Linked DNA regions of Caenorhabditis elegans. The protein of the gene in region 1 binds, or shares a complex with, the protein of each later gene. Each region holds a gene or a part of one and is shown on either strand. Other genes may lie near its edges. The genes, in order: smg-8 and smg-9. A codon is read from its position in the direction of its gene.

Region 1 (12,261 bases):
GTACCTAAAATATTACCAAAATGTTCGTCTAGACCTATTAGAGCCTGAAATGATGAATAATTTTTTTGGATATCAACCCACTAGTTATAAATCATCAAAAAAAATTACTCTACCAAACATGACGTCTACATGTATTCTAAAACCTATTTATACAAAATTTTGCTTCTATTTAGAAACAAGCCAGTTGAGAATCAAATAAAAAAGGCAGCGTTCCAGGTAATTGAACATTTGATTGACATCATTTTCTATTTTTGGTTCAGAGCAGGTTTGCAAAATGTAAAATTAAAAACAAAGAGGAAATCGAAAGTCGAATACATTAGTTTTGAAAATTGAAATCTCACAACTCAGCTTTCATAAAAACACACAAAGCTTGACAAATAGCTCGGCAGAAGATATCAACTTGAAATTTTTAAAAACATTTGTGGAATTGAAAGCAAGTTTTAGGGAAAAGATCGTGGAAGTATTTATTCCTCGTATGAATTCTCAGAAAAATATGCGAAAATTATTATTGCCAAAAAAATTGTAGTTGGCTTTACCGGAACAGCTAATTTTTAAATATGGTTGTTTTGAACGCACAAATTAATTTTCCTATTGCTTTCTATCTTCAAACTGTTGTAAAATTCATTTGACTAAATTTAAAAATAATAAGACCAAAACTCTGAACTTTCAAAAGATATTTTTGGAAATTTGAAATATATCTCTTTCAATAGGTTGCTACAAAGAAATTAGCAATTCGTACTGAAAAAATCTATTTCGGTCCAAAATATTTTTACAGAGTATTCAGGGGTTGAGGGTTCTAAAAATTAAACAAAATAACGTGATTCCTTTTCTGTGAATTTTAGTTTTTTTTTTGGAAAAATGCATGAAAATTTCCAAAAAAACTCGAATGTTTGCTTATCTCTCGAAACCTTTTAAAATAATCACCAGTCTTCAGAGCAACGTTACGGTATTCAAAAGTGATTTTAAAATTTTGAGTTCAAATAGTATCTGCATAAATTTCATTGAAAACTCCAAACAAAATCAGGAAATCTTTTTTACAATTTCTAAGAACAAGAAAACATTTTCAAAGCTTTTTCAAACTTTTGTCGAAGTTTTGGTCAATTTTCAAATTGTCGAAAAATTTGACTTTTTCGGAAACACCAATTTGTGAAAATAAATAACAACAATTTATTTTTTTGGTATTTGTTAATTTTAGCTTTATTCATTTTTAGCTGCCTACTCCTGAAATCCTTAATAACAAATTAAAAACTACACGAATCTCGGAAGTGTTCTGATTGAAATTTGAAGCAGTTGAGAAAATCATCGATTTCCAATTGCTTAAGTTTTAAATGGAAGTGAGGTCAAGTTCAGAAAAAATCTAAAAGATTGGTTTTACATAAAAGCAGAACTGGAAAACCATTTGCAAAAATAAAAGGATCAGCTTTCACATGCGCCACAAATTTTCAGCCACTCGGAACATCTACTCTCAATTTTGTTGGCTTTTTCTGTGTGTTTTCCAAAAGCTTAATCTCAAAAATTTAAGAGGGACCGGGCGTCCTGATTGGATTGTCGAATTGATGAAATAGGGGATGATGACCTAGAAATCCCAGTTTAATGCCGTTTTTTTTTAAAGAAAAAAAAACGAGGAGCAGAGGAAACACGCATTTGCCTAATCAATCCGAAAACATAAACGGGCGGTCTCTTTTTCGCGTTACCCGAGAGTGGAGGGCTTCTCCTACTAAATTCTGCATCAATTATTCTAGCATCTGAGGCCCAGTTTCTATACACTAGAGAGAAGCGCCGAAATGAGTTTTCAGTCCGGGAATGATTCTCTTTTTGGAGGAGGAGACTCTGAGTTGAACTAGACTCGATTTGTCGATGTATCCTTTAATGATTACTCTATATCAAAAGATCAGTTTCAAAATGAGAAACGAAAGCTAAAATTGAAGAACAAAAATTTAATTCGCGCTTTTTTCTCTGAAAAATTATTTTTCTTTAGATGGCTGAAAAAAATTGGGGAAAAAAATGAAAAGTTGCCTATATTTGTTGAAAACGGGTAATTCATGTATGCTGAATTCAAAACATCTAGGTTTAACCCATCAAAAACTATTAAAAATTGGCAAAAATCGGAAATTTATTGTAAAAATTCACAATTTTGAAACTTCTATAGAATGGTTAATTTTGTAAATAGAGGACTCAAAATTGATTTCCGAACACTAAAAAATTGTCTTTTTTCAATTTCTAGTAATTTTGTACAATTTAAAAAATTATTTTTTTGCCCAAAAAAAGATAGTCATTAGATGGCCGAAAACAAACTGGGGAAAAAAAGTCTAAATTTGTTGAAAGTGGGTAATTCATGTATGCTGAATTCAGAAAATCTAGGTTTAACCCATCGAAAACTATTAAAAAGTGCGCAGATTGGGCAATTTATTGTAAAAATTCACAATTTTGAAACTCCTCTAAAATGATTGATTTTGTAGTTAGAGGTTTGTAAATTTGTAGTTTGTAGTCTCGTTAAAATCTTCAAGCCCTAAAAAATATTTGCCGACGCTGCTAGCCACTTTTGATAAGTTGAAAGCCACAAGGGACCCCTCAAGGTTTAATATGATTGTTTCTGCGATGAAATATTTTGGTTTGCCGAGATGAGGAACAATCCAATTTATTTTTTTTAGGAAAAAGCAATAGATTTCGGAATTTACACATAAATCACACGAGAACAATCACCACTTGAACGACATCACAGGTTTGTAGGCGACTTTCAGCGCTCCGCCCATCCAGACACCTTGCTTTTCAGGATTGAACTCTCCGGGCATCCAGGCTCCCGATGGACCAGAGTAGACAGTTGGCAGGTGGAGGATGTAGTATCTGGTAAGAAATGTATGATAATTTATTGCCAAAGTTCGAGAAAATGTACATTTTGCGCCTAAAATACGGTACCCGGTCTCGTTATGACAAATGTTTGTTAGACGCAAAGAGGTGTGAGCCTTTAAAAGCGGAGCATCAAAATCTGGGGAATATAATTTTATAATTATTCCGAATTTGCCTCTGATCCCGAATATCTACCGTATTTCTTCTATTAATACGGCTGCAATACTATTTTTCGAAGGTCTTCCCGCTTGCAATACTATTAGGGAGTGCAAGACTAATAGGGAGTGCCAGTCTAATAGGGAGGCCATACTAATAGAAGATATACGGTATCTGATTAAAAGTCAAAACTACACACCCGCGCCAGAGGCATTATCGCGCCGTGTCATGTCGATTTACGAGACTAGTCCTGAAGCTGAAATACCAAATCAGGGGATTTTTTTTTGAATTTTTCGCATTGGCATTCGGTATCAGGGACACATTTTGAGACATTTAAAAATATTTCTCAGATTTCGGCACCTTTACAGGCGCACATATTTTTGAAATAAAAAAAAATTGTCGTTTCGGGACCGATAACCGTATTTTTCGCGCGAAAATGGTAAAATTCTGCGTCCTCGTAATTACTTTGAATGATGAAGTTCCAGCGGCTCCTGTCCAGTTCCATAGACGCCTTCGTGAGTTGGAATCAAAACTTTCGGATCAATAGTAATATGAACTGGTGCTTTTGGAGTCACCACATGAACCTTCTGCAGTTGTGCGGATTGCAGTGGAAGCTTCCGGCACGTACATGGTCTTCTAATCGGAAGATCAGCCTGGAGGACATTTCCCAACGAACTTCGGTGCGCGGATTCTCTGATAACATTCGATCCTTTCGAGTAGATGAGCGGTTCTCCGTTGTAGTCCACAAAGAAGCGGTGACCACGGGAACATTCATATTCGAATCCAACAAAAAGTTTGACACGTGCCGAGTCGTCCTTGTTGTCTTTTCCGCACTTTCGACTGAAATCCTCGCTTCGAATTTTGTTCAGATCGCGGTTCCAGACGTCGAAGTTCACCTTAAATTTATTTTTCGAATGGGGAGCAAATTGCCGGTTTACCGATTTTTCAAAATATAAAAAAAAGAAAATTTTTCGATTTAACGATTTTCCTAAAAAATCAAAAAAAAAAAACGACACCCTTGATGGGGAGTACTGTCAACTTTCAAAAAAAAATGTTACGGTACATATTTTCAATTCCGGCAAATTGCTTTTTGAAAAATAGATGTATGAACATTCATAGAATGCGTACAATTTTGCCAATCGAAATTGAAATTTCGAAATTTCAAAAAAAAAAAAAAAGTTCAGAACCAGAATTTGCCGAAATTTTCGGCAATTGCCATTTTTCCCGCAAATTCGGCAAATCGGCAACTTACCGGTTTGCCGAAAATTTTCAATTCCGGCAATTTGCCGATTAGCTGATTTGCCGGAAATTTTCAAATCTGGCAATTTAAATTTGAAATTCTGAAATTACCAACAAAAAATGTACAAGACCACAATTTATTGACTGAGCTACCTGCCCCCCAATTTTTTAAAATTTTTTTTTTTCAAAAAATCCTTACATCTAATAGAACAACTACAGGCGATAAATAATCTCCCCCAATTTTGAAATTCGGTTGATTCTTAAGTCCAGCTCCATGACTGTAAATACTCGAGTCACCAAGTGACGTTAGATGCCACGATGGAAATATTGGCAGCTTTCCGGTGGTCATCGAGTTGGGCACAGTGATCAGAAAATCTTCTGATTTTCCAGCGAGTTCGAGCTTTTGCATCCGCTTCACGTGGTCGATAGTCAATTCTCGTTCAGTTTTCGATGCCATAGATTCATCGCGGCGACTCGTCGGACGAAGGTAGGCATCCGATTCTTGTGATGAAGACTCTGAACTGCTCATAGTTCTAACTCTGACGTCATCTTCGTCAGATGGTGACGTTGAATCGGGATCCAACAGGCTTTCAGGAATATCCAGGTCAGTATCTTCCTCGGCTAACTCGTCTTCGCGCTGAGCCATCTTTTTCGCGGCTCGGAGAGAATTTGACTCTCGGTCAGCCCACATGATGTCCTGAAAATTGTAAATCCATTTTTTGTAATATTTTTGGCGGGGAATTCAAAATTTTAAGAAACAATTTCGGCGGGAATTCAAATCTTGAAGACAAATTTCGAGAGGAAAACAAAATTTTATGAAAAAATTCGTACTTTTTGAGAACAAATTCAAATAAAAAAAATTTGGAGGGAAATTCAAAATATTTGTTTTAAATTTTGGAGGGAAATCAAAGTTCTTAAGAAAAAAATTTTGAATGGAAATTCAAATTTTCTGAGAAAAATTCTGGCGGAAAACTACAGTTTTTAGAAAAATTTTGGAGGGAAATTCAAATTTTCTGTGAAAAATTTTTGGCAGGAAATTTAATTTTCTGAGAGAAATTTTCGCGGGAAATTCAAATTTCCTGAGAAAATTTTTAGCGGGAAATTTAAACATTAGAATTTGTAGCTCCTAGGCTGATTATATCGTAAAATATTGCCAGAAAACTAACATCCTTCTCCTCAGAATCCTCTTGATATAACTGAAACTGATATCTCCACAATCGCCTACAGCACTTGAAATCCGGGTGATCATAAAAATCGGAATTCGCTTCTTTAACAGAGAACGGTTCAGGACGTATCAGTTGTTTCCGTCCGCAGACACACGTGGAAATCATCGTGTTTGAAGCGTCATGCGCGGTCCAGCGGTGCTCGGGAGCCGTCTGATCACCAAATGTGGGATGGATTTTCCGAACACACGAGCGGCCCATCATTGAGACAGATTCGCATGCACGCATATCGGATTGCCACATCTCATTGCATTGAGCCTGAAGTTGAGACAGCGCTTCACGTGAATTCACCCCGACAACTGAATCGATGTAATGAGTGGCTTCGTTGAACTGCAAAACATTTTGGAAACTAATAAAAATGCAAAATTTTTTTGGTTTTTCAACCTAAAAATGTTGTCTAAAAAGAATGCGAAAAAAACGCGCCTTTAAAGAGTACTGTAATTCAAAAAAACTTTTCCTAAGATAATACTTAATTTAGAGGTGGGCGGCAATTGCAATTCCTTTGGAAACATTTATTTATTTGATTTGATTTGACTTTTCACAGATCTCCTTTTTGATTGCTTTTTCCGTGTTTTATTGTAGTTTTTCAATTAAAACCTCCCTAAAATTTAGGAATTACAGTACTCTTTAAAGGCGCATTCTATTTTACATTTGCCAAAATCTTGTCGTTTCGAGACCAGGAAACCCCAAATTTGGCTAAAAATCTGAAACACTACAAATGGAAACAAAAAAGTTCTGAACGAATTTTGAATTTCGCTCCAAAATGAGAACTCTCAAGCTAATTGGTTGGAGAGTGGGCGGATCGAATCGCTGCATGGTCGCAGTTCTCATGGCGGAGGGAATTTAAAAATTGCGTCGATTATTTTAATATTTTGATTTTTTTTTGAAGCAAAGCAACTTTTAAAGCCCGTACCCTCATCAAGTGCTCCTCCTTGCTTCGAATTTTCACCGGTTTTTCAGAATCTTTGAACCGATCCGCACCCCGTCTCTCTCCTGGCCGCTGAGCATTAGTGTAAAGTCGTCGAGCTTCTTCCATATGGTCATTTTGAATTCTTTTGATAAATGTTTGAATGGCAGTTTTCTCGTGTTTTTCCTCCAAATCACCATCGAGAACACACTGTAGGCAGTTCATCAATTCGATCACGTTTTCCAGAGAAATTTCGTTTTTCTCCGAGCGAAAATTGTCCTCTAAAAATTTGACGAACGAATTGTTGCTGGGAAGTGTTCCGGCGTTTCCGGATATTTTCGTATTTTCAGCGTCGGCCATCAGAATCTCGAACATTTCTCCGATGATATCTCTTTTTACAATTTTTGGATTCAAAAGATGGACGACCGGTATTGTTTCGTTCAGCTGGCATAAGGATGATGCTCCGCAATCGATAAGGTCGTAGAGCTTCAGAATGTCGCTGAATTGATTATCGAGGTTCTTCTCCAGTTTTTCGTAGAGTTCACGCTGAAGCTTGGAAGGGGTTTTTTTTGGGTTTTTTTGTCCTCAAAAAAGTTTTTTTTTTAATTTTTCGGGCTAGATTGGTGTTTTTTGTTTGTTGGAATTTTTGGTTTAGAGGAAATCAAAAAAACTTGATAATTTTTTTTTTGAAAATATTATTTTTTAGGTTTAGAAGAAAATTTTTTTTAATTTGATCCAAAACATGGTTTTGTTTGAAATGTTTTTTTTTTTATTCTTTAGGTTTAGAGGAAATCAAAAAAATGATCAAAATTTTTTAAAAAATGTTTTTCTTTTCGGTTAAAAAATAAATTGAATTTTCGAAATTTTGTTTCTTAAATATTATCAATTTTTTAATCAAAATCAATAGATTATAATAATCCGATTTTCAAAAAAATCTCAATTATCTCAGAAAAAGACCGTTGGGGCGCGATTTCGAAAATTTTAATAAAATTTTAAAACTGATTTTTTAAAAGCTGGTTTCGATATTTTTGCAGTTGCAGACTTCTGGTTTCTCACGATTAAAAAAATTAATTTGTAATAGTTTTTTAAAAAACTATTGAAACTATTGAAAAAAAAAACTTAAAAAATCAAGGAAGACTCATTTTTTTAGCCGGTAAATTCAAAAATAAATCAGTTTTTGAATGTTTGGAAAATTCAAAGATTAATGTTTTAACATGTATTTTCTACATATTGAAGCAAAAAACGTCATTTTATTAACCTTTTTGCCGGGATTCACGTCTGGCCGGATATTATTCCGCTGGAAAGCAATCAAAAGACGTGGCACAACCATTCGACCCTCAGATTCTGCAGATGACAAAATTCGATTATTAAAAGAGACATCGCGAAGATCCGAAGCAACCAGACGTTGATTTATTTTCTTTCGCAGCTGAATTCTGAAAAAAGTTTTTTGTAAAATTTTGCTTTTTTTTCAAATATTTACCTCGCCGAGTTGACTTTTTTTAAAAATCTCATGAGTTCCAAGTCGATTCTTGATGTTTGCTCAAAAATAATGATAAAATGACACGAAATAAACAAAAAATGCAGCATTCGGATTTGTTGGCATTCACTTTCAGCCATCGCATCGAAATAGTTCGATTTTGGATTTGATTTTAGACATTTTCGAATGTTCGCGACGTCATCTACACCATTCATCACCAGAAACAAAATCTGATCGTCTTCGGAGAAGTGACCGCGAATCTGAAATTCTTTTTTAATTTTAGTTGGAATTTTAAAATTTTAAAATCAAAAATTCAAAATCTCACCGTACAAGTCTCATCTTCAGTTGCAGCCACTGGGAAAACATTTTCCCTTAAATAACAATTAATATTATCTCCTTTTCCGTGATCCGGATAGTCTTTTCCAATCTACAAAATCGGAATTATTAACAAAAATCGATTTCCATCACTTACAACTCCAATAACTTTGATTTTAGTGTCAAGTTGAGTGCTGTAACAAGTCCTTGCATGTTCTACCCATTTAGCTATGTCCATTTTTCACTGAAAACGCAAGAAGTTTAATTTTGCGAAAAATACGACGAGAAAAAAACAAATAAATAATAAATAATGCAATTGCGCTCTACTGACACGCCGTAGTGATTGGAGACGAAGAGTGATGATGCGCACAAAAGCGAGGGAATTTCAAATCGAGGAAAGGCTCAAACTTGTGAAATCGTATTGAAAAATTAGTAAATTATGGTTAAATTGCATGATAAAAAGGTGTTCAGGTCTTCGATTTTCTTATTGCCCAGATGTTTTTCAAAAAAATATTCTGAAAAAGATAAATTGTATTTTTCAAATCTTAATTTTTAGCACGATTACAGACCTACTGTACAATGAGAGAATCAAAATATATGACCCCTTTTCAATGCTAAAGTGTCCTGATTACAAAAGGATTCTTCCGCTCAGCAAATTTCGAAATTTGCCGCACACATCAAAAAATTTGACAATAAAATTTTGACCAAAACTATTGATTTTGCCCGCCAAACATTTAGGAAAATGGCACAAAATTGAGTCATTTTGATGTTTAAGAAGATACACGACACAGAAGTTATTCAGAGCTCGGCAAATTTTGAGATTTCCCAGTAGAAGCTAGCCTACTTTGTTGGTATTTTCTGGAAACTGACAATTATGAACAGTTTTTTAAAAGAAAAAAAGAAGGGCTCCCATTGATTTTCCCGAAATTTTGAATTTTGAAAAATAAAGATCCTTTAAAGCTGGAGAATCCTTCTGTAAGGAGGGCCCTTTGTCGTTTCGAGACCTAATACCGTAAGTTTGATTCAAAAATCGCAGTATTTCGCGTTTGGGTAGTTACAAAAAATCGGCCATTTTACATTTTTCGATTTGCTGGAATTGGTTTTAGCCTTTCAATAAATTTCGTTTGGTGTATCCCTTTTTTCTAATTTAAATTATTACGTTTTTGATAAATCTCGAGTGTCTTCTTATTTTACGTATATTTTTCCACATTGTTCAATTTTCCCTTAAATTAGATCTAAAAAACAACCGAGAAAGTTGAACATTTTTCTATATTACCGGTACAGAGAGTGTAGAGATAGTTAGACTCAGACAAATGATATCAGAGTTACTTCCAAACAAAAATCAAAGTTATTCAGAGCTAAAGCGAAATAACCGCTAAACTACATACCTCTACTTTTACTCGGAGTAACTACGCCTTTACCCTACCCAGCTCTGATTAGGCCTGACTAGCTCTGAGTTACTTCGCCTTTTTTTTTGGCAGAACTTATATTTCTCTGATTTACTCAGAATAATTGCGCTCTAATCTGAATAGCTCTGCCTTGTATGGAAGTAAGTCTGATGCCGTTTGTCTGATAGTGAGCGCGAGAGTGACAGACATCAGGGACCCAAAGTGACGGGGCTCGGGAAGAGACGATTTGTGTCGTTTTACGAAATGTTGACAACGAGGTAAACTCTGTAAATCGACACAAATAGTATCAGTAAATATGTAATGTTTTCTGCCCAGTATCTCTTCAGATTTCAATATATTCAGATATCCATATCTTTTCCGGTCCCCCTACATATTGCCAACACATCGTTGTTGAAAAAGCAAAAAGGCATTATAGACCATTACAAAACGTGAGACGCGGACGGGCACATGCGGCGACGACGGACGGACAGAAAGAGATTTGTTTCGTTTTTCACTTCACTCTTCCGTAATACATAAATATTGCCAACATATGGTCTGTTACATTCATTTTTGATATTATTCGATTATGGTGCGTCGCCCCGACGTCTATTATAGACATACATTTTCTTCAAAAAATACAGTAGCTACAGTTGTAAGACTATTGTAAGAAAAAAAATACTGTATTTTTTAAGTGGCTACTCTTTTTGAATTTCTTAAAGTCTTTCTAGTAATTAAAATTGTAGGGTAGGGAGGCGCGGTTTCAGGGCCTGCCGCCTACCTGAAATCTGCACGCCTCAAGTGGATTTGAAGTGAATTTTCAAATTTCAAATTTTCTTATTTCTACCAATTTGTTGAAAATCCAATAAAGAAATTTTAAAAACATCACGTATATTGGCGAGATACAGGCTGAGGTAGAATTAAGGTCAGACAGGCAGGCATTTAATACCTACATCAAGGCCCTATAGAATTGTTTTATTAGCGCTTCTAATCTAGTCTTATATGCAATTTTCTCCAAATTAGTAGCTACCTTCAAAATTAGCAACACTAAAAATTAGTTTTATATCATTTTTTGCTTTAAAAGTTTTAGGAAATACGTAGTTCTTGTTGATACCAAATAAATAATATGGCCTAGCTCTTTAAATAATGTTCAACTCCACTGTGATCAATCTTTTCAAATTAATCCAATTAAAAATAAATTAAATTTGATCAACACAGTCATGTCTATCCCAATTTCCATCACACGGCGTAGTTCGAAAAAAAAATTCTCAGAGCGAAAATCGAATATATATACCCTATGATGGTCCACCAAAATGAGCTCTCAAAAATTGAGAGATTCCAGTATTGCATGCCTTATTATTAGACTAAATACGATATGATAATAATTTTTTTCACTATAAAATAGGCATTGAACAGCTACCGTAGGCATTATTTCCCTACAGGTAAGCATTTTTATGAAAGGCTTGTTGTTGGTATTGTGTGTACAATGCTCCAGAGACCACATGCAATTTGTATAATACCACTATTTTGTACCACCTGTCCATCTATTTAGGCTGTTCATATATGGTCTTAACTGCGGCCAATTTTGGGTTTAGATTTGGAGTTTCTTTTGGATTAAGTGTACTTTAGCCGGCGCAATTTGATTTTTGTGAGTTTCGAGGAACTTATTAGTTTTCTTTTTCCCACAAAAGTGGGATGTACTTCTAACTACAGTGTCATTACCTGCATCTATCGGCATTTCCTAGAAACTTCAAAATTATTTATGTACAGCATTGTCAGGCAATTATGAGACTTCCGTGCTTGTTATGCTTCTTACCGAATTAAAAATATTTTTTCCGTCTATCGCATAATACACTCGCGGGTTTTGTCATTGCATCGTCGTCGTCGTCCCCTCGCAACCCACCACTTGGTCGGGTGGGGGCAATTCGTATACACACAAGTACCCCTTGTCCTGTTATCAGTCGCCTCTCTGCCGCTTGCCACCGCTCATCGTCCGCTGTGTTTCTCCTCCTAACATATCGGTATTTGCATTCATTCATATCGACCACACCAATCTCTACCACGTTCTCTCCTTGTCTACCGTCTCTTCTATGACCGACGAAGCTCTCGCCGTCCGTGTCTCCGAAATGCGCACTTACTCGTTTGTTTATCGTCTTCTCCGTCCCCAGCGGTCTCTGCTACGTTCATCTCTTGCATCGTTCAGCTCTCTTTTTCTCGTTTTCTCATTTTCTTCTTCCTTTTATAGTTTTTGTTTCGTTTTTTTTTTCGTATTGCTGCATTGTGCCACGTCTTCTTTTTTACTGAAAATATATGTTTGCAGAAGAAAGAATGCAGCTAGACGGTTGTCGTGTACGCAAGAGCGAACGATATCAGCACCAGATTCAGAAGAGCCGTAAAATGGCGGATCGCAGCCGGAACACGTATCGGTTCGAGCGCTTGGTTAGTTTCAGTTTCTGTTCTATTCTTCTCTTTTCACTCTTTCTGATCTATCTCTTCTCTCAATTTGTCGCATGTTTTCCGCGCGCGAATATTCCGCATTCCATTCATGCTTCATAATTTTCTTCATCCTATCTTTTGCTAGGTGATCGTCTGGCCACAACCGTGCTGGGTAACTACCTATGTAGATAGAAAGTTCACTAATTTCTCCTGAAGCTAGGTGAAAATTTTTTGTATCAGTTGATAAGACAGGTCGGTGAAATCATAGCCTGTGCA
Region 2 (12,054 bases), 310 kb from region 1:
TAAACAGAAATATTATTAAATTTTAAATTCCCGCGCAAAGCGAGTGACGTCATTTTCGACATTTTTGCGTTTTTCCGGCTATTTTAATTGATATTTCTCTGTTTTATAACTTGAAACATAATTTGTGGATTTTTCAGACATTCTTTCGTAATGAAATTTGCTGAAAAATTGAAGAAAAATCAATTAAAGTCAGAGAACGCGAAAGTGACGTCACTTTTTTTACTCTGGAATTCAAAAAAAATCAGTTCTTTTGACCTTTTTTTTGGCCTGATTTTGGCTTTTTGGTCTTTTTGGCCTTTTTTGCGTTTTCCGACTGTTTTATCTGGTTTTTCTTTATTTTTCGTTATGTCACAATTTTAAACAAAATTTATAAAATTTTCAGAAATTTTTCCGTAAAAAACTTGTTGAAACTCTAAAATTAGCCTAAAATCGATAATTTAATTTTTGAAAAACGTTTTTTGTGGAAAAATGTCCGAAAAATTGACAAATTATGTTCCAAATTGTAAAAAATGGAAAAAAAATAAAAAAAACAGCCAGAAAACCAAATTCAAAAAATCAAAAAAAAATTAGAAAATTTTTATAAATTTTTTCACTGTTATATTCTGCCATTTAGAGCAAATTTTTAAAATTTTCAAAACTATTACCTTCGCCTTCGCCTGCCTCGCATGCTCAACTTTCGCCAGCTCCTGGCTCTTCACCTCGAAAACTATTTTATTCCGTTTTTCGAGTATATCTCCGGCTAATTCGAACAATTCGACGCCGAGAAGATCGATGAGCTCGCCCTGTAGATCCATATCGGAACGTGTCGAGCACAACATTTGTAGAAGGTTTTGGGATATTGTCTGAAGGAAAATAGGTTAGAAACTTGATTTTTTAGCCGAAAATCAACCTCAAACGTATCTGGAAAATATATAAGCAATGTGTCAGCAATCGGCTGAAAAATGCTCCCAGAGCCCGAGGTAGAAGGCACTTGGGGTAGGGAAAGAGCTTCTGGAGCTTCTGAAAAACCTTCTTGTTCAGCTTCACAATTCGACCATTCTAGAAATTCCGATGGAAATCGAATTTGAATTTCCTGGTGGAAGCTTGCTACCCGTGATGGTGAGGGTGGATCTGAAAAAACATCTGGTAAAAATTTTTTTAATAAAAAAATGGAAAAAAAGCTAACTAACCATCTCCAATTCGTTCGATATAGTTGAGAAGATCCATTTTGTACCTAGTTTGGCAGCTGTAAAATTAGAATTAAAATTAAAATGAAAAACTATATTTTTCAAGAGAGAAGGATGTTCAAACATTGTTCAAAATTTCGCAATTTTTGAAAAATCGATTTTTTTCTGAAGTTTTAAGTTTTAATTACTTTTAATTTCTATTTTGTTTAATTGCCAAATATTTTTGTTTTTTTCTCTGTTTTAAGGTGAAAATTAATAAAAATGAACAAAATAAGGTCCTGGCCGCTTCCCTTCTCTGACCTAGCGCTTTCTAGGCCAACTGCACTTTTATTTGGCGGTTTTTTATGCAAAAGTGTATTATATTAATTTTTTTCGCAATAAAGATGTGTTTTTAATCATTAAAATAGTTTAAAATGAAGAGAAACATTGAAAATTGAAAGATAACAAAAAATGTTTTTAAAAAAATTCTACAGTACTTTTTAAAGGCGCAGTCCAATTTTTGTATTGATTTTCCCGCCACGATTACTCTTGTGGACTCTTTTTTCGTGCTTTTTTTGTTGTTGGTTATGGTTTTTACTGATTTTTTTTGAATTAAAAATTAAAAAATGACTTTTTTAATTAAAAATTTGTTTCAATTATTTTGAAACCCTCTTGTAAAGCCTTGTAAAACAAGAAAATTGAACTACAGAAGTTTTAAAGGCGCATACTAATCTTCAAAACAATTTTCCTACCACGAAAATAAATGATGACGCGGGAAAACTGAAGAATCGTTAATTTTCTCCGTTTTTCACGAAAAATGTCGGTTTTTTCTATTAAATTCATCCGATTTTCAGATGTCGCTCAACACAACCTTCACCAAAGAGGACGGAACCGAGGTCGTCATCCCATTCAACGGGTCGCAAAATGGGCATCCGGAGAACGAGGAGCCAGAGGTTGAAGAAGCCGCGGAGCCCAGTTCTTCAGTGGAGACACTGTGCGGTGCCACGAGAGGCGACATCATTGTGATGAAGCACACGACGAAGGCGCTCACAGAGTTGATCGAGCGGCTCTTGCACTCGGATGGTGAGAAGCTTTGAAAAATTGCTAAAAGAGATTTTAAGAGGAATAAAACCATATTAATTTCAGAATTCGAAGTCCGTCGCTGCTCAAACGGCCAAATCATCTCACAAGGCCGCTGCAACGGAACAACGCCAGGAAACGGCATCGGAGGCGGCGGGGCATCAAGCGAGGAGCTCGAAAAAGCGCTGAAAGATCGAGATGCCGCCCGTGCCGAAGCCGACAAGCTCCACGCCAACTACGCGACACTGTTCGCCTCGTTCAACACGGTTCGCGAAGCCGCCAACGACATCCGCGGCGAGTACGAGGACGCGAGGGACAAGCTGAAGCTCGCCGCCGCCGAAGTTGACGAGTGGCAGGCAAAGTTCCTCGCCGTCAAGGATAATGCGAATTCTGAGCTTGAGAGGTGAGTGAGAGAAAATTTAATTTGCAACATGTAAGAATATATTTCAATTCAGAGCATCCGTGGAGTACGACGATCTTCTCCGATCCCACGATGAGAACACAAAGGGACTCCGTCTGCGTGTAAAACGCCAGGAAATCGAGCTCTCCAGCAAGAACGACGAGATCAAGGTGCTCACGAACCGCGTGTCGGAGCTCTCACAGATTTGCGATCAACTTCTGAATGATGTCGACGTTTCCGATGGGATGTCCGTTATTTCGACGGATGCATAATTTATTTCTGTAAAATATAATATTTCTTCCCCCCGCCTTTTCGCTTTCCGCCTTATATTTTCTAATTGTACATGAATTTTTCAGCTTATTTATTTGTTTTCCAGATTATTTGTATGAGAAACAAGTACAAAAGGCTTCGTTTCAGTATTTTACCGAGAAAAACTACAATCTTCTAAATTTTCGCGCCAAAGATACAGCGCCCGGTCTCGACACGAAAAACATTTGCCAAATGCAAGCATGTGTGCGCCTTTAAAGTGTACTGTAATTTCCAGGCCGAATTTGTTTTGATTTTTTTAGTTCTCACTTGTTTTTCCAAACAATTTATGCGTTGTTACGAGGTTTTTGTAATAAAAGTCAATAAAATTCCTACAGTAATCTTTAAAGGCGCACACCTCTTTTCAGACTGCCGCATGGATTTTGAGCGAATTTTTTGATTAAAATGTATGCAAAACTTTCAAAATTTCTATTAAAATCTTGCAATTTTCCAGATGAAAAAAGTGGAAATTCTGAAAACATCTCGGCCATCATCTGCAGGAGGCGCTGCCCGACCCTCCACAGCGAGCCCAACTCATGGAGCACCGAAAATCGCCATCAAAACACGTCCGGTGGCCGATGACGTGGCGCCTACCGCCGCTACGGTCATCGAGCCATCGCAAAAAGCGATGAAGGAGTCTGTGCGATTTTTGACGGATTTCGGAGAGATTTCCGATGCGATTTCAGTGTGTTTTTTATTTTAATAATTTATTATGGAGACGCAGAAAAATGGCTTCTTGAAATTGGAGACGTGAAAACGCGCTCCACCGAACTATGGGTCTCGTTAGGGTTTGCTCGTAAATTCAAATGCTTCCAAAATTTTAAAAATTAATTTGAAAAATGTTCAAGCATTTTTCGTACTTTTTCTCAATTTTGAAGCATTTTTTGTGTTTTTTCTCAATTTTGAAGCATTTTTTGTCAAATTTCTTAAGTTTTTTGTGCTTCTTGCTAATTTTAAAGCATTTTTCGTATTTTTTGTCAATTTTTTAAGCATTTTTCGTCCCTTTTGACAGTTTTCAAGCATTTATCATTTATAATTTCAACAAAAAATTTCAACACATTAAAAAAACAGAAGACGACGAAAAAAACGAAAAATGCTTGAAAATTGACAAAAAAAATTACAAAAATTGCTTGAAAATGTTAAACAAAAAACACGAAAAATTCTTGAAAATTGACAAAAAATTACAAAAAAATTCTTGAAAATGTAAAAAAAAACACGATAAATGCTTGAAAATTGAAGAAAGAAGCACGAAAACTACTTGAACATTGACACAAAAAAATTACAAAAATTGCTAGAAAATTGAAAAAAACATTACAAAAAATGCTTGAAAATCGACAAAAAAAGGTCGAAAAATCCTTGAAAATTGACAAAAAAATTACGAAAAATAGCTTGAAAAAGTTCAAAAACAAAAAAACGAAAAACTTGAAAATTTTTAAAATTACGGTTTCGCCGCCAAACAACTAACGAGACCCATTATTCGGGGGTGGAGTTGACCGTGGAGCGCATTTGTAATTTTTCCAGGATCTCCTCACATCGAGCCCCAACTTCAACGTTATCTCTGCGATCGGGCCGCAGGGCGCCGGAAAATCCACATTGCTGAGCATGTTGGCAGGGAATAATTCACGTCAAATGTACAGGGAATACGTTTTTCGGCCAGTTTCTCGAGAAGCCAACGAACAATCACGACATCAAACAATTCAAATCGATATTTATATTGTAAATCATCAAATTTTCTTGGATTGTCAGCCAATGTACAGTTTTTCGATTATGGAAGGCCTTCCGAAGGTTCGAGGTGGACGATTCGATGATTCCACTGCGATGAGTGATGTGAGGAAGCATTTTAGACACAAAAAATCGGAAAAATTGGTTTAAAGGCGCACGAAAAGTTCTGTAAAGGTCTTGCCACGAAATTAGTTTTTCATTTAAATTAATGAGATCAGGGGTGGACGGATTTTCGCCAACAAATTCGACAAATTGCCGATTAGCCGGAAATTTCAATTCCGGCAATTTGCCGATTTGCCGGAAATTTTCAGTTCCGACAATTTTCCGGTGTGCCAATATGCCGGAAATTTTCATTTTCGACAAATTGCCGATTTGCCAGAAATTTTCAATTTCGGCAAATTTTTTGTTGAGAAATTCGGCAATTGCCGGTTTGCCGATTTGCCGGAAATAATCAATTCTGGCAATTTGCCGATTTTGCGATTTTCCGGAAATTTCAATTACGGCATTTAACCGATTTGCCGATTTGCCGGATGTTTTCAATTCCGACAGCTTGCCTGAAATTTTCAATTCTGACAATTTGCCGGTTTGCCGATTTGCCGGAAATTTTCAGTTCCGACAATTTGCCGATTTGTGGGAAACTTTCAATTTCGCCAAATTTTTTTATCGACAAATTCGGCAATTGCCGTTTGGCCGATTTGCCGGAAATTTTCAAATCCGGCAATTTGCCGATTTGCCGGAAATAATCAATTCTGGCAATTTGCCGATTTTGCGATTTGCCGGATATTTTCAATTCCGACAATTTGGCGGTTTGCCGATTTGCAGGAAATTTTCGTTTTCGGCAAATTGCCGATTTGCCGGAAATTTTCAATTACGGCATTTAACCGATTTGCCGATTTGCCGGATGTTTTCAATTCCGACAACTTGCCTGAAATTTTCAATTCCGACAATTTGCCGGTTTGCCGATTTGTCGGAAACTTTCAATTTCGCCAATTTTTTTGTCTACAAATTGGCAATTGGCGGTTTGCCGATTTGCCGGAAATAATCAATTCCGGCAATTTGCCTATCTGCCGGAAAAATTCGATTGCCGCCCACTCCTGATTGGAATATTAATTCCAAAAATATATAAAAATTCTAGAAACTAGACTTTAACATTCAAAAAAAAAAGGTTTGAAAATTCACCAAAACAAAATTCACCAAAAATTTTTATGCCCTAAAGTGAAAATCTTTAAAAAAGTAAAAATTTTCATTAATTTCAGACCCTCCGGCTCACCGCATTCCTGCTCTACGTCAGTCATACGGTACTCGTCGTTTCCGAAACACATTACGATAAAGTCATCATTGACACGTTGAGGGTTGCCGAACAAATTCGACCGTATCTTGCAATTTTTCGTCCGAAACTTGCGATTGATAGGAAGACCAATTTAGGTAGAAAAAAAAATGAAAAAAAAAACTGGCAAGAAATGGGCGGGGTTTGGAAAATAGGCTCCGCGCAATTCTTGGTTCTCCGAATTTCGCAAGACGCAGTTTTAGCGAAGACTGTGCAAGTTGATGCATGCAGAATTTTAAAGGGATTTTGTACTACACGTGGACAAGTATGAATTTATTTTTTTCGTATGCATTTGTGAATGGCTGAAATGCATATATTTTTGGATCATTTTTTGCATTTTTATAATTTTTTTTGGAAATTGGAAATTTTTTGGAATTTTAAATTTTGAAATTCCAAAAATTTTGGAATTTTTAAATTTTTAAAAGTTTTGAAACTTTGAAAGTTTAGAATTTCGGAGTTTTTTAAATTATGGAATTTTAAAATTTTGGTATTTGGGAATTTTGAAATTCCAATATTTTTAAAATTTCAAAATTTTTGAATTTTTGAATGTAAAATACGAAAAGAATAAGCAAAAAACTATTATTTTTATTCAAAAAACAAAAGTGAAATCATGCGAAAAAAAATGAATTCGCACTTGTCCACGTGTAGTACAAAGTCCTCCGTAAATCGACATGCAGAAAACCGTACCGCAGTCTTTTTGCAAAACGAAAAAAATTTCAGTATTCATCAAAACGAAGGCGAGCTCAATCGACCTGGCGCCTACAGTAATCCGGGAACGGGAAGAGCTTCTTCGACTAAGTTTCCAAGATTCTCGATGGCTGAAAGTCTCTCAGGAACCCTTTAAAACGCTGATAGTCCTGGAAGAGATTCGTGTCCGGCGTGAGCATTTGTTTGAGGAGGGCGATGAGCCTGACGAGGCTGCCTCGCTTAATGAATTTGACGAACAAATCGCAGAGTTACGAGAGGAATTGCAAAAGAATCGAGAGGATTTTACAGTGGAAACTGCGGCGATGGATGAGAAGAAATGGTACGTTTTTTAATTTTAATTTCCAAAAAAATATTTTTTTGGACAAAAAATATCGAATTACTTCAAAAAAAAAAAACAAAAAAAGTCCTAAATAATGTTTTGAAAAATAGTTTAAGGTTTTTGATCCAAAAAATTGAAAGAGACTTTTTTCAACCAAAAAAATTGGAAAAAAAATTGTTTTTGCAAAAAAACCAAACAATTAAAAAAAATCTGAAAATGAATGGAATTTTGGAAAAAAACAACCCAAAAATTGTTGAAAAAAAGCAAAAAATCAAAAATTTTGTTAAAAATCCAAAATGTAAAAAAATTCAATTTCTGCAAAAAAAAACTCAAAAAATTGGAAAAAAAACAATTAAAAAACAATTTTCACAAAAATACCAAAAGTTAAAATAAAAACCGAAAAAAAATCAGTTTCTGCAAAAAAAAACTTCCAAAATTATTTTTAGAAAACCAAGAAAAAACCAAAAAATTTTTAAAAAAACACAAACAATTGTTTTTTAGAATATTTGCAAAAAAACCAAAAATTGTTCAAAAAAACCAAACAATTTAAATTTTAAAAAACAAAAAAAATCATTTTTGCAAAAAAAAACCCTAAAAACCAAAAATTGAAAAAAATACAATTTAAAAAAAAATTAATTTTTGCAAAAAAAAAACCTAAAAACTAAAAAAGAAATCTAAAAATTAAAAAACAAAAAAATACAGAAAATCATATTTTGAAAAACCAAAAAAATAAACAAGAAATTATAATTTTTGAATTAAAAAATCCAAAAAAAAGTGTTTTTATAAAAAAAAATAAAAATTTCCGATTTTTCAGGCTCGACATGTGCCGAGAAGTGATACGAGACAAGACGTTGCACAAAACACTCAAAGAATATCAACGAGCAATGACCGACGGTGTCCGCACACATTTTGACAATGGATTCCATGCGGAAAGAGACGCGAACAAATTTTTTAGCTGAAAAATTCCGGTTTTTTGGAAATTTTTAAGTATGTAACTTTCAAAAAAACAGTGTTTTTATTGAAAAACTGCTATGTTTTTCAAATTTTCGAATAAAATTTTAAAAAAAGCTGAAAAAATATTCTCTCAAAATATCACCAAAAAATCTAAAAATTTTTTTTCTAAATGTTTCGATTTTCATTTTAAAAACCTCTAACAAAAAAATTTGGAAAAATATTAATTTAAAAAAAAACTCAATAAATAATGTACGGCTTTAAAAAAAAAATTCGATTTTTTAATGCCAAAAAGTGAAAATATTATTTTTTAACAATTAAATAAAATAATAATATGCATTTCTTTTCCGATTTTTTTTCCGATTTTCTCAAAAACAGAAATTCAAACAAAAAATTGAACAACATATTTTTAATCAAAAATCTTTAAAATGATAATACATTTAACATCAATTTTCAATTTTCACTAAAAACACCATATTTTTCCCTTAAAAATACCAAAAAAATCAAATTTTTCCCGGCAGACACCCAGGACCCCAGAAATTCCTCAAAAAAGCGTTATTTAAATTTTCAAACCCAAAAAAGTGTCTTCAGGCCTACCTACACATCATACTCATCACCATCCAACAACTGATATAATCCCAACCTTGTTTTTGCCTTTATTTTTTCTCCTCTTATGCATATTTTCTCCATATTCCTACTCTCCAGGACGACCGGCCGTCTCTCTCTTTAATCCGGGAGCAGCACCACCACCGTCACACAATTTCCGCCTCATCGCCACTCATCGGGGAGCCGAGAGGCTTATATTCCTGCCATAAATCCCCCCGTGCTTGAGAATTTTTTTCCCCATTTTTTGTTGTAAAATTTTTTTTTAATTTTCTTTTTTTTTTATGTATAATTTTTCCAATTTCATTCCCCATCATTATATCGTTTTTTTTTTTGTATTCCCATTTTTTGAGATCTAAATCAGTTGGGTATTGTTGTGCAGTTTTTGTGCAAAACAACCGGATAAAAACACTGCAAATTTCTTTTTCGTTTTTCTTTTTTTCCTCGGTTGAGCTGTGAGCAAAAAAAAAAAGAAAGAAATCGAGAGATTTTCGATTTAAAATTAAATTTTTAATATGAAAAATTTAAATTAGTTTCCAAGTGTCAGTTTCAGGACTTTTCCTTTTTCTGTCCTTTTCTATTCGATTCTCAAGTTTTCTGATATGTAAACTACTAAAAATTTTTCGAGAATTTAAATAGTTTCCCAATTGTCGTAGGTTTAGTGCATTGCGTACTTGGCATCACATTCCACGACAATTTTCAAATATTTCGTTTTAAAATCCACGGAATAAAGATATTTCTAGGCCATGTAGAGGATTCTAGAGCGAAAATTTGAAATTTTCTGCAATTTTGCGTAAAATTCGGTGCAAGACTAATTTTGCGTACTTGGTATCACATTCCACGACAATTTTTGAAATATCAAAAATTGTCGTCGTTTTCGGTGTTTTGTACGTAATACTATTAGTTGACAATAGGGACAATAGTACATTTTTTTTATCCGCCAGCAAAAAAAAACACCGAAAAACAGAGAATCCGGCCTCGTGGTCGAATTTCTTGAAATTTTCTTTGAAATGTTTCTTGTTCACCGGAAGTGTCCGCCACCCCACCATCACTTGCATTTTTCGTAAAAAAAATGACGTGATTACTCGTGAAATGCGGTTCCACGTACGCAATTGCGTGCCAAACATCAGATTTTACGAAATTTCTAGGGAAGTTCAAATAATGCCAGTGAATTTGGCCTTTCTGTGCAGATTTTGGTCTAAAAATCAAAAATTAATCGGTCCTAACTCGAGTCTATTTTTATTCCGAAGTGAAAGTGAACTTCATTAAACTTGCATTAAATAAATGTTTCCTGACGGAAAAGTTCAGAATTTTTGTCTTTTTTTTTGGTTTGGAAGTTGGACTGATGTGACATGGCCGAGTTTTCGTTCAAAATTAGGTGATTTCACGTGGACGAGTTTCTCAGTTTTTTTCGGCCATGGCCACATAATAAAAGTCCCCCAAGTGTTGCGTACATCATATCAAATTTTACGACAAACTCTCAGAAATTTGAATAAAAAGTTTCATTTTTTCTAAAAATTGGGCGAAAAACAGTTCGTGGCTTGGAATCAAATTATAATTAAAAATGTCTGAAAATTTGTCGTGAATTGTAATGTTTTAGTGAAGAAACATCAATTTAAAACTAGAAATTGAGAGTAAAAGTATTTTTTTTCTAAATTGTTCATTTGAAATTCAAGTCACACCGAATTAAATTCCATTGCTTTCTTTATTTTGCCATTTTTTCTAAATTCTAGTTCTATGATTATCTATTCTTTTTTTATTTATAAAGTGTAAAGCCCTTTATAAAGTGAAAAATAACATAAAAATCAAATTCTGGCTTATAAATTAGATTTTTTTCGCTCAATTTTTCTAAAGCGGCGGATAACAAGAAATTGATAAGTTTACATGACCTACTGCTCTTAATCCCATTTCTTCTCGCAGTTTCCCACCGTCCAGTTGCTAAGCTCCGGCGAGGACTGACGTCAGCATGACCTTGAAATTGATTTGTTCGAAAAAAAGCTCAAAAATGGAAAAGGGAAGCCGTATTTTTTTCATGAAAGTCGGATTAGGATTTTCCAATATAATAAACACATTTTTTTATAATTTTTATAATTTTCTAGAAAATTCGACTGGAGACAGTGGATTTTTAAAAAGTAATTTTCATGGTAGTTTATCCCTTTTTGCGCGTCAAGCTTGATGTATTAATGCGATACCACATTTGACGCGCAATTTTATGCCAATGCCTTTTGCTCGAATGAAAAGTAATCCATAAATCCACGAGCATAACAGGAAATTAGGTTGGGGACCACCTAATTTCCGGTTTATTTTTTTTCTGGGATTTCCGCTTGAGACCTTTCTGGGTTAGTCCTCAGAAAATATAAATGTAAAAAAACTTTTTGATCTTCAACCCTTGTGAAGACAATGGGCAAGTGCTTTTGACATTTTTAGATGACGTTCCCTTCTTTTACGGGCTTCAAACTCTAGACTAGGAAGTGACGGAGCTAATTCGTGTTTAGGCGTCAGGCAGCAGTAGGCAACTTTGTGCCTACACTTTTTTCGAAAGTAGATTTTTTTTTAAAATTTTTATTCACTTCAAAAATTATAAGTAACCCTAAAATATAAATTTTGAAAAAAATACCTTTTTTGTATTATATTATATTTTTTTTGTTGAAAAATCCTTGAATTTTATGGCATCACTTCCTTCAAAAAGTTATTCCAAATCGAAATTAAATAGTCAAATATTTTCCAAGAAATTCCTGAAAATTTTGCTGAAAACAAGGTTCAAAAACAACATCTTCCAAGTTGAAAATATCTCAAAAAAATATATTCCACCCTCTCAATTTTTCTGCTTCCATATCCGGTGTCGAGTCACTTGATTTATTCATTTTACTACTAACCTTTTTCTTCATTTGTTAATTTTTTCTTTCCTCATTAGCAGCGATAGACGCTCAAAAATCAAAATTGTTCACCTGGAATTTTATGGCAATTTCAGTTTTTTGAAGTTAAGCTTTGCAAAAAAAATGCGACAAGGTACAATAAGCTTTTCAACAATATTTATTTGAAAAAGACGTCCAAAAAATTTTCATAGAAATCGACAATTTTTTTTGAAATTAAATAAGTTTACAATGTAACCTTCTATAATAAATTAATTTTTATGAATATTTTCAATTAGAATTTTTATTCGATAAGATCCTAAAATAAATATTATTGACATTTAACCATTCTCATTAGGATTAGTGCACCTTTTTTGCGGGCGTATGCCACGTCAAAAAGATATTTCTCGATCTTTTTCGGATTTTGTCATTAATACCATTTAATAAGAAGATATGTCATACTCTATATTACTATTTATTTAAATTTCTTACAAAAAGTTTTTTTTTAATGTTTAATATTCTGAAACTTTTTGTATCGATCTTGAGGAAATATATTTTTTTAGACGTGGTACAACTCAAGGGGCAACTTTTTTTCGGCAAATTGCCGGTTTGCGGATTTGCCGTTGCCGGATATCAATTTG

The links.
Region 2: the proteins of smg-8 (region 1) and smg-9 are in contact, whole or in part, in a crystal structure (PDB 5NKM), measured with the Caenorhabditis elegans proteins. Residues at the interface, in NP_497003.3 of Caenorhabditis elegans: Pro33 (codon at 8,261), Asp34 (codon at 8,258), Val80 (codon at 8,055), Asp81 (codon at 8,052), Val83 (codon at 8,046), Ile86 (codon at 8,037), Arg87 (codon at 8,034), Leu90 (codon at 8,025), Lys91 (codon at 8,022), Asn97 (codon at 8,004), Tyr98 (codon at 8,001), Phe99 (codon at 7,998), Glu106 (codon at 7,977), Glu135 (codon at 7,890), Arg138 (codon at 7,881), Tyr229 (codon at 6,855), Ala334 (codon at 6,540), Ile335 (codon at 6,537), Thr337 (codon at 6,531), Phe338 (codon at 6,528), Ile339 (codon at 6,525), Arg341 (codon at 6,519), Ile342 (codon at 6,516), Asp345 (codon at 6,507), His346 (codon at 6,504), Glu390 (codon at 5,789), His393 (codon at 5,780), Tyr394 (codon at 5,777), Ile395 (codon at 5,774), Asp396 (codon at 5,771); in NP_497058.1 of Caenorhabditis elegans: Tyr155 (codon at 4,684), Asp173 (codon at 4,738), Tyr202 (codon at 5,976), Lys204 (codon at 5,982), Val205 (codon at 5,985), Ile207 (codon at 5,991), Asp208 (codon at 5,994), Arg211 (codon at 6,003), Val212 (codon at 6,006), Glu214 (codon at 6,012), Gln215 (codon at 6,015), Ile216 (codon at 6,018), Arg217 (codon at 6,021), Pro218 (codon at 6,024), Tyr219 (codon at 6,027), Ala221 (codon at 6,033), Ile229 (codon at 6,057), Ile245 (codon at 6,727), Val251 (codon at 6,745), Glu254 (codon at 6,754), Arg255 (codon at 6,757), Glu257 (codon at 6,763), Leu258 (codon at 6,766), Leu261 (codon at 6,775), Ser262 (codon at 6,778), Gln264 (codon at 6,784), Asp265 (codon at 6,787), Arg267 (codon at 6,793), Trp268 (codon at 6,796), Thr350 (codon at 7,856).

Annotation. Positions count from the first base shown.
Region 1 is NC_003280.10:14,437,581-14,449,841, reverse strand, and holds smg-8 (Nonsense-mediated mRNA decay factor SMG8), read right to left. Parts: upstream 8,434-12,261; 5' UTR 8,403-8,433; coding exon 8,322-8,402; intron 8,277-8,321; coding exon 8,175-8,276; intron 8,110-8,174; coding exon 7,853-8,109; intron 7,806-7,852; coding exon 7,631-7,805; intron 6,925-7,630; coding exon 6,379-6,924; intron 5,796-6,378; coding exon 5,409-5,795; intron 4,940-5,408; coding exon 4,442-4,939; intron 3,900-4,441; coding exon 3,469-3,899; intron 2,845-3,468; coding exon 2,700-2,844; 3' UTR 2,609-2,699; downstream 1-2,608. Other genes in the region: K04B12.2 (snRNA-activating protein complex subunit 3), read left to right, coding at 11,878-11,988. UniProt on the Caenorhabditis elegans protein: Involved in nonsense-mediated decay (NMD) of mRNAs containing premature stop codons. Probable component of kinase complex containing smg-1 and recruited to stalled ribosomes.
Region 2 is NC_003280.10:14,743,821-14,755,874, reverse strand, and holds smg-9 (Nonsense-mediated mRNA decay factor SMG9), read left to right. Parts: upstream 1-3,385; coding exon 3,386-3,616; intron 3,617-4,452; coding exon 4,453-4,758; intron 4,759-5,909; coding exon 5,910-6,078; intron 6,079-6,700; coding exon 6,701-7,007; intron 7,008-7,821; coding exon 7,822-7,966; 3' UTR 7,967-7,994; intron 7,995-8,549; 3' UTR 8,550-8,985; downstream 8,986-12,054. Other genes in the region: Y54E2A.4 (Activating signal cointegrator 1 complex subunit 3), read right to left, coding at 645-842, 890-1,110, 1,170-1,206; tac-1 (Transforming acid coiled-coil-containing protein 1), read left to right, coding at 2,000-2,228, 2,292-2,628, 2,681-2,897. UniProt on the Caenorhabditis elegans protein: Involved in nonsense-mediated decay (NMD) of mRNAs containing premature stop codons. Probable component of kinase complex containing smg-1 and recruited to stalled ribosomes.